3 linked regions of the Kluyveromyces lactis genome follow. The protein of the gene in region 1 interacts with the protein of each later gene in a pairwise test. Links are inferred from orthologs where the notes say so. Each region holds a gene or a part of one and is shown in the gene's direction. Other genes may lie near its edges. The genes, in order: CHS3, SHC1 and CHS7.

Evidence for each region.
Region 2: the proteins of CHS3 (region 1) and SHC1 interact in a two-hybrid assay, tested with the Saccharomyces cerevisiae proteins (3 studies listed by BioGRID). The link is inferred for Kluyveromyces lactis from reciprocal best matches to the Saccharomyces cerevisiae genes CHS3 and SKT5.
Region 3: the proteins of CHS3 (region 1) and CHS7 interact in binary tests that used the Saccharomyces cerevisiae proteins (3 or more experiments, as listed by UniProt). The link is inferred for Kluyveromyces lactis from reciprocal best matches to the Saccharomyces cerevisiae genes CHS3 and CHS7.

Annotation. Positions count from the first base shown.
Region 1 is NC_006040.1:302,258-306,019, reverse strand, and holds the start of CHS3 (chitin synthase CHS3), read left to right. Parts: upstream 1-1,243; coding exon 1,244-3,762. Other genes in the region: KLLA0_D03520g (M20 family metallo-hydrolase), read right to left, coding at 1-115. UniProt on the Saccharomyces cerevisiae protein: Polymerizes chitin, a structural polymer of the cell wall and septum, by transferring the sugar moiety of UDP-GlcNAc to the non-reducing end of the growing chitin polymer.
Region 2 is NC_006041.1:1,799,609-1,803,370, forward strand, and holds SHC1 (Shc1p), read left to right. Parts: upstream 1-1,497; coding exon 1,498-3,579; downstream 3,580-3,762. Other genes in the region: recombinase RAD51, read left to right, coding at 1-832. UniProt on the Saccharomyces cerevisiae protein: Activator of the chitin synthase CHS3 which polymerizes chitin, a structural polymer of the fungal cell wall.
Region 3 is NC_006040.1:672,700-675,337, forward strand, and holds CHS7 (Chs7p), read left to right. Parts: upstream 1-1,129; coding exon 1,130-2,083; downstream 2,084-2,638. Other genes in the region: KLLA0_D07876g (uncharacterized protein), read right to left, coding at 2,262-2,477. UniProt on the Saccharomyces cerevisiae protein: Chaperone required for the export of the chitin synthase CHS3 from the endoplasmic reticulum.

The DNA of each region.
Region 1 (3,762 bases):
TATCGTTCAATCTTCCAGGAGCAATCTGCAAAGGAACATGGCCGACGAGATTGATTGTGCCTGTCGCAGAATCAGTAGTTGTAGTTGTAGTTGTTGGAGCAATGGTAGATGTCATAAGTTTTCTTTTTTGATGTTTATGTATTGTTTGTAGCTCAAACTAGCTCCATACTGAACAGGAAAGGGAACATCATAACCTGGAGACAAACAAGAATACCAACTCTAGTATACATATATATATATTTATGTTTTGAAACATGTCTTATAGTCAATATCTTGCAACCTATCGATATCTCTCGCTTATCGAGTTGCAGCCTTTAACCTAATTCTATCTAGGTAGTCCATTTTTTTTTGCGACGTTATCAAATGCGAGATAGGGTTCCAAATAAACTAAACAGTTGCCAATTCGAAGAACGGAATCAGATTCGGAAAAAAAGTTCATGATAATCATATCATATACAGGATCACCATACCCGAGATCTCAGGTCGGTACTTGCCGTGGTTGCTTGGATCAGGCTTTTTTCCTCATCACCGGCTCATGTGTCGATCTCTTTTACTCTGTAACTTGTTGCAGCACACATCGTAATATATATATATATATATATATATATATTACTGGTCCCCTAAAGATTCGAACCCGGGAACACACGCACCGCTTGTGCTCCGGAATATCCGAGAAAATTCTTGATTAGGAGTAGCCTCACGTGACAAGTCCTTTAACCCAATCGGGTAAAAGAATGGACGCCATTCCCATGAAATATCCGGGTAAATATAATCTGAAGTAAATCCCAGGTTTCGAAAAAGCTAACACAGAAACCATCATCTCCATCATCAGCATTAGAACATTAATATTATTGTCATTGTTTATGTCTAATTCTTGAAATATTTACATGTTGCAGACTGCGCACCAATCGTGAGATTTCCCTTCGAAGATACCCTGTTGTTTTCTGCTTTTATCATACGTGCGGTTAGAGTGTTGCATACATACCATTCGGTGCATTTAGTCCCCATTCGTTTCAATACTAAAGAATCTGATCTGTGATAAAAATAGTAATTGACTTAAAACTCGGAAAAAAAATATTGACAATAAAATAATAGCAACATTGTCTGTTCTATTCATTTCACATTACGGATATTAACTGCTGTTTTCTACCATCATTTGAGGTCATATATCTATTTATTTTCGACTGTGGTTTTTTTTGTTGTCCGATTTCTTCATTTTGAACACAATATCATTTAGACCCTCATGTCTGATGATTACTATGCATTTGACAACGAGTCACTGTTGAAATCTCGGTCTCAGAGACAGATTTCAAGACAAGGCTCTTTGGTCAGACCTGAAAGAAATAGTTTTAAAGATCCAGACCATCCATACCATTATTATGCTTTAAAAGCGAAGGAAACTCATCTTCAGATCAATCCTTCCACAACAGGTGCTTTGCCTGAAGAGTCCTCGTTGGATATTCCAATGCAAGACCTGAATGTACAGTCAAACGATAAACTTCCAAGTTCTTCTTTGAACACAGTGGGTGAATATGGTGAACCAAATGAAAGGTTGGTAATGGAGGGTAGCGATGGGTTTGAAAAGAAAAACAGTATTTATTCAGAAAAGAACGTGTCTCCTCCAATAGAGATCGGACAAAGGTTAGAATCTAAGGCCAAAGATCAAAACAAGCCCAAAGTGGGCTTTTCGTTATGGCAATCGTACTGTTTTTTGATTACAATCTTCATTCCTCCTTCCGTTTTAAAATTGTTTGGCATGAAGACAAAAGCGGTTCAAAGAGCATGGAGAGATAAAATTGGGTTGATTTCAATCATCTTTTATATTGGAGCGTTTGTCGCTTACCTGACTTTCGGGTTCACAAGAACTGTCTGTGTTCCAGGCAAAGTAAGGATGCGCAACAATGAAGCCACCACAGGACAATTAATTATTCATGGACAGGCATACTCTCTAGAATCTTCTTCTCATCCAGCTGCAGCTGGTATCCCTGGGGGATCTAATATTCTATATCCTCCTGTGAATGCTGGTGGCATGGACGCGTCTTTCCTTTTCCAAAACGTTAACGGTAACTGCAAAGGGTTGATTGAACCAAGAGAAAATTCTACTATTCCTTTCGATGACGACGGAAATATGGCATGGTACTTCCCATGCAAACTTGTTAACCAAGATGGTTCAAGTAAACCTAACTTCACAGAGTCAGAATACTACGCTGGCTGGGGTTGTCACACGAGCTCGACTGCCAGGGAACAGTACTATGCCCTTAATGCCCCGGCGGAGGTATACTTCTCCTGGGAGGATATTAAAAATTCTACGAGAAAGTTGATTGTATATAATGGTGACGTTATTGATTTGGGGATCTTAGACTGGCTAGAAACTGACGATCTTACATATCCAGAGACATTTGATGTCTTGAAATCAGCCAATTTAGAAGGTTATGACATTTCATTGGTCTTATCCACTAGCAGAGAAAGAAATGTAGCCCGTTGTCTCGTTGAACTTGCTAAGGTTGGTGTTATTGATTCAGAAAGTATCGGCTGTATTGCTTCTCAAGTGGTATTATATTTATCTTTGGTATTCATTCTATCCGTTGTCGGTTGTAAATTCTTCATCGCGTGCTACTTCCACTACTTTGTAGCAAAAAAACAAGGTGCGTACACTGTTGACAACAAACAACTCGCCAAACATAATAACGACTTAGAAGATTGGTCAGAAGATATCAATTCTCGTGGTCCTTTGAAGCCCGTTGATCCATCATTAAGACCAATGAAGAAAAATCATAAAAAAAACAGCTCCAGTATCAGTTTATTCAACCGTAAATCCCGATTTAGCCAACAATCATTGGGTAAATCTGTACACTTGAATGATCCTGTCATTCAGAGCCTTGAAAGTACTGGTATGTCTACAATGACTACACAATCCGTGCTGAAATCAGCATATATGAATGAAATGAAGAGAAAAAGTGCACATGCTGGATTCGCCTCGCAGTCAAGACCGGTCTCCACTATTAATCCTTTTTCCGACAATCTTGATCCTTTCGGTACTTCAATGACTATGGAATCGTTAGATCCAACGATCATTCACCCCGATGCAGTATTACAGCCGCCCCCAGACTTCATGCCCTATGGATTTCCATTGGTTCACTCACTCTGCTGTGTCACCTGTTATTCAGAAGATGAGGTAGGTTTAAGAACAACATTAGATTCCATTGCAACCACAGATTATCCAAACTCTCATAAATTAATCGTTGTAATCTGCGATGGTATTATTAAAGGTTCTGGTAATGACAGAACCACCCCGGACATAGTATTAGATATGATGGAAGACTTTGTGATTCCCAAGGAGCAAGTTACAGCTTATCCTTACGTTGCAATTGCAGTTGGCGCAAAAAGACATAATATGGCAAAAATATATGCTGGGTTTTATAAATACGATGAATCCACCATACCCGCCGAAAATCAGCAACGTGTTCCAATTATCACCATTGTAAAATGTGGTACAGCTGAAGAACAAGGCTCAGCGAAGCCTGGTAACAGAGGTAAGCGTGATTCACAAATTATATTGATGTCTTTCCTACAAAAAGTGACTTTTGATGAAAGAATGTCGGCTTTAGAGTTCCAACTAATGAAAAATATATGGCAAATTACAGGGTTAATGGCTAATTTTTATGAAACAGTATTAATGGTTGATGCAGATACTAAGGTTTTCCCAGACTCTTTGACTCATATGCTTTCAGAAATGGTGCATGATCCATTAATCATGGGATT
Region 2 (3,762 bases), on another chromosome or scaffold:
ATCAGAGGCTAAAGCTGATAAGTTACTCGCTGAAGCGTCGAGACTAGTGCCTATGGGTTTTGTCACTGCGGCTGATTTTCATTTGCGTAGAAACGAAATGATCTGTTTAACTACTGGATCGAAAAATCTTGATACTCTACTTGGCGGAGGGATAGAAACCGGATCTATCACTGAACTGTTTGGTGAGTTTAGAACTGGTAAATCGCAACTTTGCCATACATTGGCTGTCACATGCCAGATACCTTTGGATATGGGAGGCGGTGAAGGCAAGTGTTTGTACATTGATACGGAGGGTACATTCAGACCGATTAGGTTGGTTTCGATTGCGCAGAGGTTCGGTTTGGACCCTGACGATGCTTTAAATAACGTTGCATATGCAAGAGCTTATAACGCAGACCATCAATTGAAATTGTTGGACGCAGCTGCACAGATGATGAGTGAGTCAAGATTTTCGCTGATTATTGTCGATTCTATTATGGCATTGTACAGAACCGACTTCTCGGGACGTGGTGAGTTAAGTGCAAGACAGATGCACCTTGCCAAGTTCATGAGATCATTACAAAGACTAGCTGATCAGTTTGGTGTCGCAGCGGTAGTGACAAATCAGGTTGTGGCCCAAGTTGACGGAGGAATGATGTTTAACCCTGATCCAAAAAAACCGATTGGTGGTAATATCATGGCTCATTCCTCCACTACTCGTCTTGGATTCAAGAAGGGGAAAGGTCCACAGAGATACTGTAAAGTGGTAGACTCACCATGTTTGCCTGAAGCAGAATGTGTGTTTGCGATCTACGAGGATGGTATCGGAGATCCAAGGGAAGACGATGATTGATCTGATTCTCTTTACCTGGTTATTCATAACACCAAAAAAAAAAGAATAAAAAGAAAAATCCACATTTTTAATATAGCATTCAATTTCCTACGTTGCTAGTAAAACCCCACTGCGTATCTATCTTCTCATTTATTTGTTCATATCATTCGTGTTATAAATAGTCCATAGGGCACGTTATTCTATATGTATATTCATGCAAACCCTCTCTAGTTGTTAAATGCTCGCATAAAACGCATATAATTCCCTCAGCGAAAAGGGACGACTATCCTTTCATTTAAGGGACTTGCATATCATAGCTACAAACACTTCTCCATGTCAGTGTGCTATTAATAGGCTTGACTTCTTTTAATATTCTTTACCTCATCACACCGGAATTCCGAACGTCAACAATCTGAAGCGAAATTTTTGGAAATTTCACCATTTCCACATATAGACAAGAAAGAGTAATTTTGCATTTCTATATAAAACACGTTAACTTTGTAAAACAAAGGTTTGCGAGAGAACATATTCTGGCAAGAAACAGGAGGGACAGAGCGGAGAAGCGTGCTACCGATATATTAGACTTGTCACTAGGCACTCTGTTATTTGGGGTTTTAAGTACGACTCTTTTTTGATAATTTTTTTGACCGATTCTCGTGATATAATTGATAAATCGAACGTTACAAATGGCAGCATCAGCCTCGCATGTCCATCCATACGCACAGCATTTAGCTGAACTGAATCCTATGGTGGTTGACATCCCTGAACTTGAAGTTAGTGGTAATGTTTCTTCTGCTGACTTTAAAGCCGATGATGAGGAACCTAGGGCTTTGTCCGGTTTGAGCTCGCCTAGTTTTACAGTAACCGGAGAAAAGTACGCGAATTTACGTTCAAATAATAACACACCTCCAAATGAGACACCTGAGTATATCAGGAAACATAAGAGATCTGAATCGAGCAATGGGAATATGTCTGTGAATTCTATACCTTCTAGCGGTTCTAGAGGCTCAGATAGACGGGTAAAGTCCGTTGTTTCTTTTAGTTCAAATGCGGAGAATCCGAACAGAAGATCAAGATCCGTAGATCTTTCACATTTATACCTCGGTGGTGAAAGGGACATACGATTCACGTCCACGAATGAACTTGTGGCAGATGAGTCTCACAAGAGAATTAGCACATATTTAGGTAATGATTCGGCTGCCTCGTTACTATCTCGTCAGAAAACCATCGAAATGTACAAACAAAATGTTAAGAAATCGAAGAACCCGGATGTCTTGTTCCAGTACAGTCAGTACATGTTACAAACTGCATTAACTATGAACCCCACCGAATTTGATGACAAAAAAAATGAAGACGGGTTAACCGTGGAAGAGCAGAGACAGCAATTCTTGAAAGAAGCATTACATTATCTTAAGAAATTGAGCGTTAAAGGTTACAAAGATGCACAATATTTACTCGCAGATTCTTACTCTAGTGGTGTCTTTGGGAAAGTGAATCAAAAAGAAGCATTCTCTCTTTTCCAAGCATCTGCAAAACATGGGCACGTCGAAGCAGCTTATAGAACATCGGTATGTTTTGAGGAAGGGATAGGTACTACCAGGGATTCTCGTAAGTGCATCGAATTTTTGAAGTTTGCTGCATCCAGAAACCATCCAGCTGCCATGTTTAAACTTGGGGTGTACGCATTTTACGCTAAGATGGGTCTTTCAGACGATCTCAATACGAAGAAGAACGGTTTGAAATGGTTGTCTCGTGCGGCTGCAAAAGCCAACAGGTTGACTTGTGCGGCTCCGTATGAGATGGCGAAGATTTATGACACTGGTTTCCTTGATATCTTGATTGCCGATAGAAAATATGCTATGGAACTTTACATACAAGCCGCATCATTGGGACATACGCCATCTGCGACTCATTTGGGGAGAATATACGAAGTTGGTAACGAAGTAGTTCCACAGGATACACTTCTTAGTGTAAATTATTATACAATTGCATCACACGGTGGGGATCCAGAGGCTATGATGGGGTTATGTGCATGGTATCTAATCGGAGCTAAGCCTGCGTTTGTTGCCGATGACAATGAAGCATTTGAATGGGCGCTGAGGGCGGCCAAGTTAGGTTATCCGAAGGCTCAATTCACAGTTGGATATTTCTATGAAAAGGGGAAAGGATGTGAACCAAACACTGAAAATGCTATGAAATGGTATCAGTTAGCTGCTGATAACAAGGATCCGAGAGCCTTGAACAAACTGAAGATTAAAGATCGTTCCTCAAGAAAGTCGAAGAGTTTAAGTACATTTAATTTCAATTTCTTACTGGACAACAATGAAGAAAAGGGTAAAAGAAAATCGTTCCATCTGAATTTGGACCAAGATGATAAGCCGGGAACTTTTGTTGATATGGAGCAAAATCTGACGGATCCATCTAAGAAAAATAAGCGGAACAATTCGATACCCGTTGAACAACTGCAGCATCCACAACAAGAAACCCCAAGCACATTGTCTGCTTCACTACAAAAGCAGTCTGCGATGGAACATCAGAATACCCTGTCAGCTAGTGGTCAGAAGAGCTTACATGACCAGGATGTAGAAAAGACACCTAATTTAAGATCTCTTTCTGACCCCAAATTGGACAAGATCTCCATTCCTCAAACTAAACCAGCTCTTGGAGAAAATGAAAAGAACGGCATCGATTCAATTAAGAAGAACTTAAAGAGCAAGAGTAAACGTAAGAATGGGGAAAAGACCAAGAAAGGTTGCGTGATTATGTGAGCTAAGTAGAAATAGGGAAACTATCTACAAGCAACTGCATGTTTTTCTCAGTTTATTCTTAGAACTTATAGACCTCGGCCATCTCAATGTATAAATCATTGTATTTAAAATCTGGATATCAGTAAAATAGTTCGGAAAATGCATATACATCATTATTAGTATATCTTAATGGCAAAGAAATGA
Region 3 (2,638 bases), about 370 kb from region 1:
CTGTTGAGTTACGCTTTCTGAATGTACTGAAACAAATAGGTGCTATAACAATCAACTATACGATATATCTACTATGATGAACTTTCCTTGTGTAATATTTTAATGTTGAAAAATTCAAGGTGGTTCAATCCTTCCAGATGAGAATTGCCGAATGGCAGCCATCGAAGCAGAGACGGCAGCAAGAGTGAAAGGCGAACAAGTCCAGACGAGCAGGCGTTACTGGCCCCCCGACTACGCAGGTCCAAGCTAGCCTGGGCGGGAAGCAGTAGGCAGAAGCAAGCATGAATGCGTAATGTGTTGGCAAGAGAGACTACACTGCCGGTAGCCCAGACCAGACCGACCAGGAGGAAGGTCTGTTAGTGGAAAGTGAGTGATTCGGCCTGGTTAGGCCACACCAATGCCACTAGGCAATGTTATTTTCCCACAGACGAATATAGTCCTAATTGGGAAACAATTTTATTTTTCACATTTCAATTGAACACGAAAATCAATGTGTGGGTGGTTAAGAGAGATTTTATGGTGCACGGATGCAAACAGTCACAAGAACCGTCTTCTGTCTATACAAGCTTTCTTTTCAGGATACTAAACCCTTGAATGTCGACAGCTTAGACTGACGCGCATCAATTTCTTTTTTTCCTCTTTAATTGGTTCAATATACCGGACAGCGTTAACACAAGAGAACGTACCTTAGAAGGACGCTGCCACCAAGGGTCCGGTTTTCTTGCCGGTCCCTTCTCAAGGATGCTCAAGTAAACTTTGCTTCGGCAAGCATGTTTTCGGTGCATGTAGATTGACTTTGGTAGCCATCCTGATGTGCCTCGGCCATCCGTCACGTCAGAGCACAAAGATTCAATTATTCCAAATCGGGAAACCTACTGAAAAACCAATTGCCTATAATACAAGAATGCGAAACATTGAACAAGAAGAAGAATAAAAAGAGTAAATAAGAGAGGTTTCACAATGCTTGAAGCACAAAATTCAAGAACCTCTATTTGGACTCCGTTTTTATTGGTTCGAAGCCATATATTAGAACACAAGGGTTTAAACTTCCTTTGTGTGCATTGAGCGAAAGGGCGAGCGAAAGAAGTTATTAGACCGCGTGAAACGTGCTCCTAATTATAGCAAAGAGATGTCTTTTGGAGATTTCAGTAAGATCTGTCAGAGGACCCCGTTGCCGCTTTGTTCAGTTGTGAAGTCTGCAAAACAGATGGTGTTGACCAATGATACTACCATCAAAAATTCCAGGTTGGATATTATAGATTTAGGGATTATACCAGTATGTTACGCCAGATCCATTGATGTAGCAAATACGATGATCTTCGAGATTGGGAACGCATTCATCAATATTGTTGCATTTTTTCTGTTGATCATTATCATATACAACGTGCGGAGGAAGGTGACAGCAATTGGGAGGTCAGAGTATAGTTACTTCTTTCAAACTTGTTTGGTTTTGATTATCTTCACTTTAATTGTCGATTGTGGTGTTTCTGCTCCAGGTTCTTCTGCATATCCATATTTGGTATCCGTACAACTGGGTTTAGCCGGGGCATGTTGCTGGATGCTTTCAGTACTTGGATTATTAGGGTTCAGACTATGGGAAGATGGTACTTTCAAGTCAATGTTGCTCTTATATGGGATGTCCTTTGGTGGATTCATTTTGAACTTCGTTGTAAGCATAGTTACTTTCAAGGAATGGATACAGAGGAAAAGCGATATGTCAACAGACACCATGGGATTATTCACAGTAATGTATGTCATTAATGCGTTGGCTCTACTTATCTACATCATTTGTTTATTGATAGTGTCAGTGAAAGTCTTACAAAATTACTGGGCTACAGGGGCCATTCTCCTCGGTGTATTCTTCTTCGTGGCGGGCCAAGTTCTAATATATGCTTTCTCAAACAATATATGTGAAGGTATGAATCACTATTTGGATGGAATGTTCTTCGGTAGCTTATGCAATTTGTTTGCAATTATGATGCTGTATAAAAACTGGGACATGAGTACCGATGATGATTTAGAATTTAGTGTCAGTATTGACTCCACTGAGTACAGCACTTTCAACTCCGATATCAAACTGTGAATAGAAACTCTTTCTCATAAACATTCATTTCCCCCTACATTTTGCATAATAAACATTAAATAAACGGCTTCAACGACTACAACGACTACAAGCCCCTCATGCCGGTTAATGTTCATTCATATTTAACAACTTTGTAAGTAATTAGATTCGTTTTTGTATTTCATTGATAACTGACCTGTCATTTCCGCTGCTCATCCTCTAGCCGGCTCTTAGCTGCTCGCAGTATATCCCTGTCCGATATGAATGAAAGATCGTTGATGATTTCGTTGGAGTTGAACGGGTATTGGCAGGTTTCGTTAGTGCATATTGTCACCGCATAGTTCTGTTGAATCAAACATCTCTGCAAATTGCTTTGACACTGCGGACATTTCAAATCGTTCTTCGGTTTTGACATATGGATTTATCTTAGTATAGGTGTATTTATGGCGTGGTTGTTTGGACACAATAATGGACGCTATACAACAGCCACCTCATCTCATCAAACTTCACAACTTTCTTTGTCAGTTAGATATTTTTCGTTCCCTTATGAACATCTATCTCTGTTGAAAAAATCCA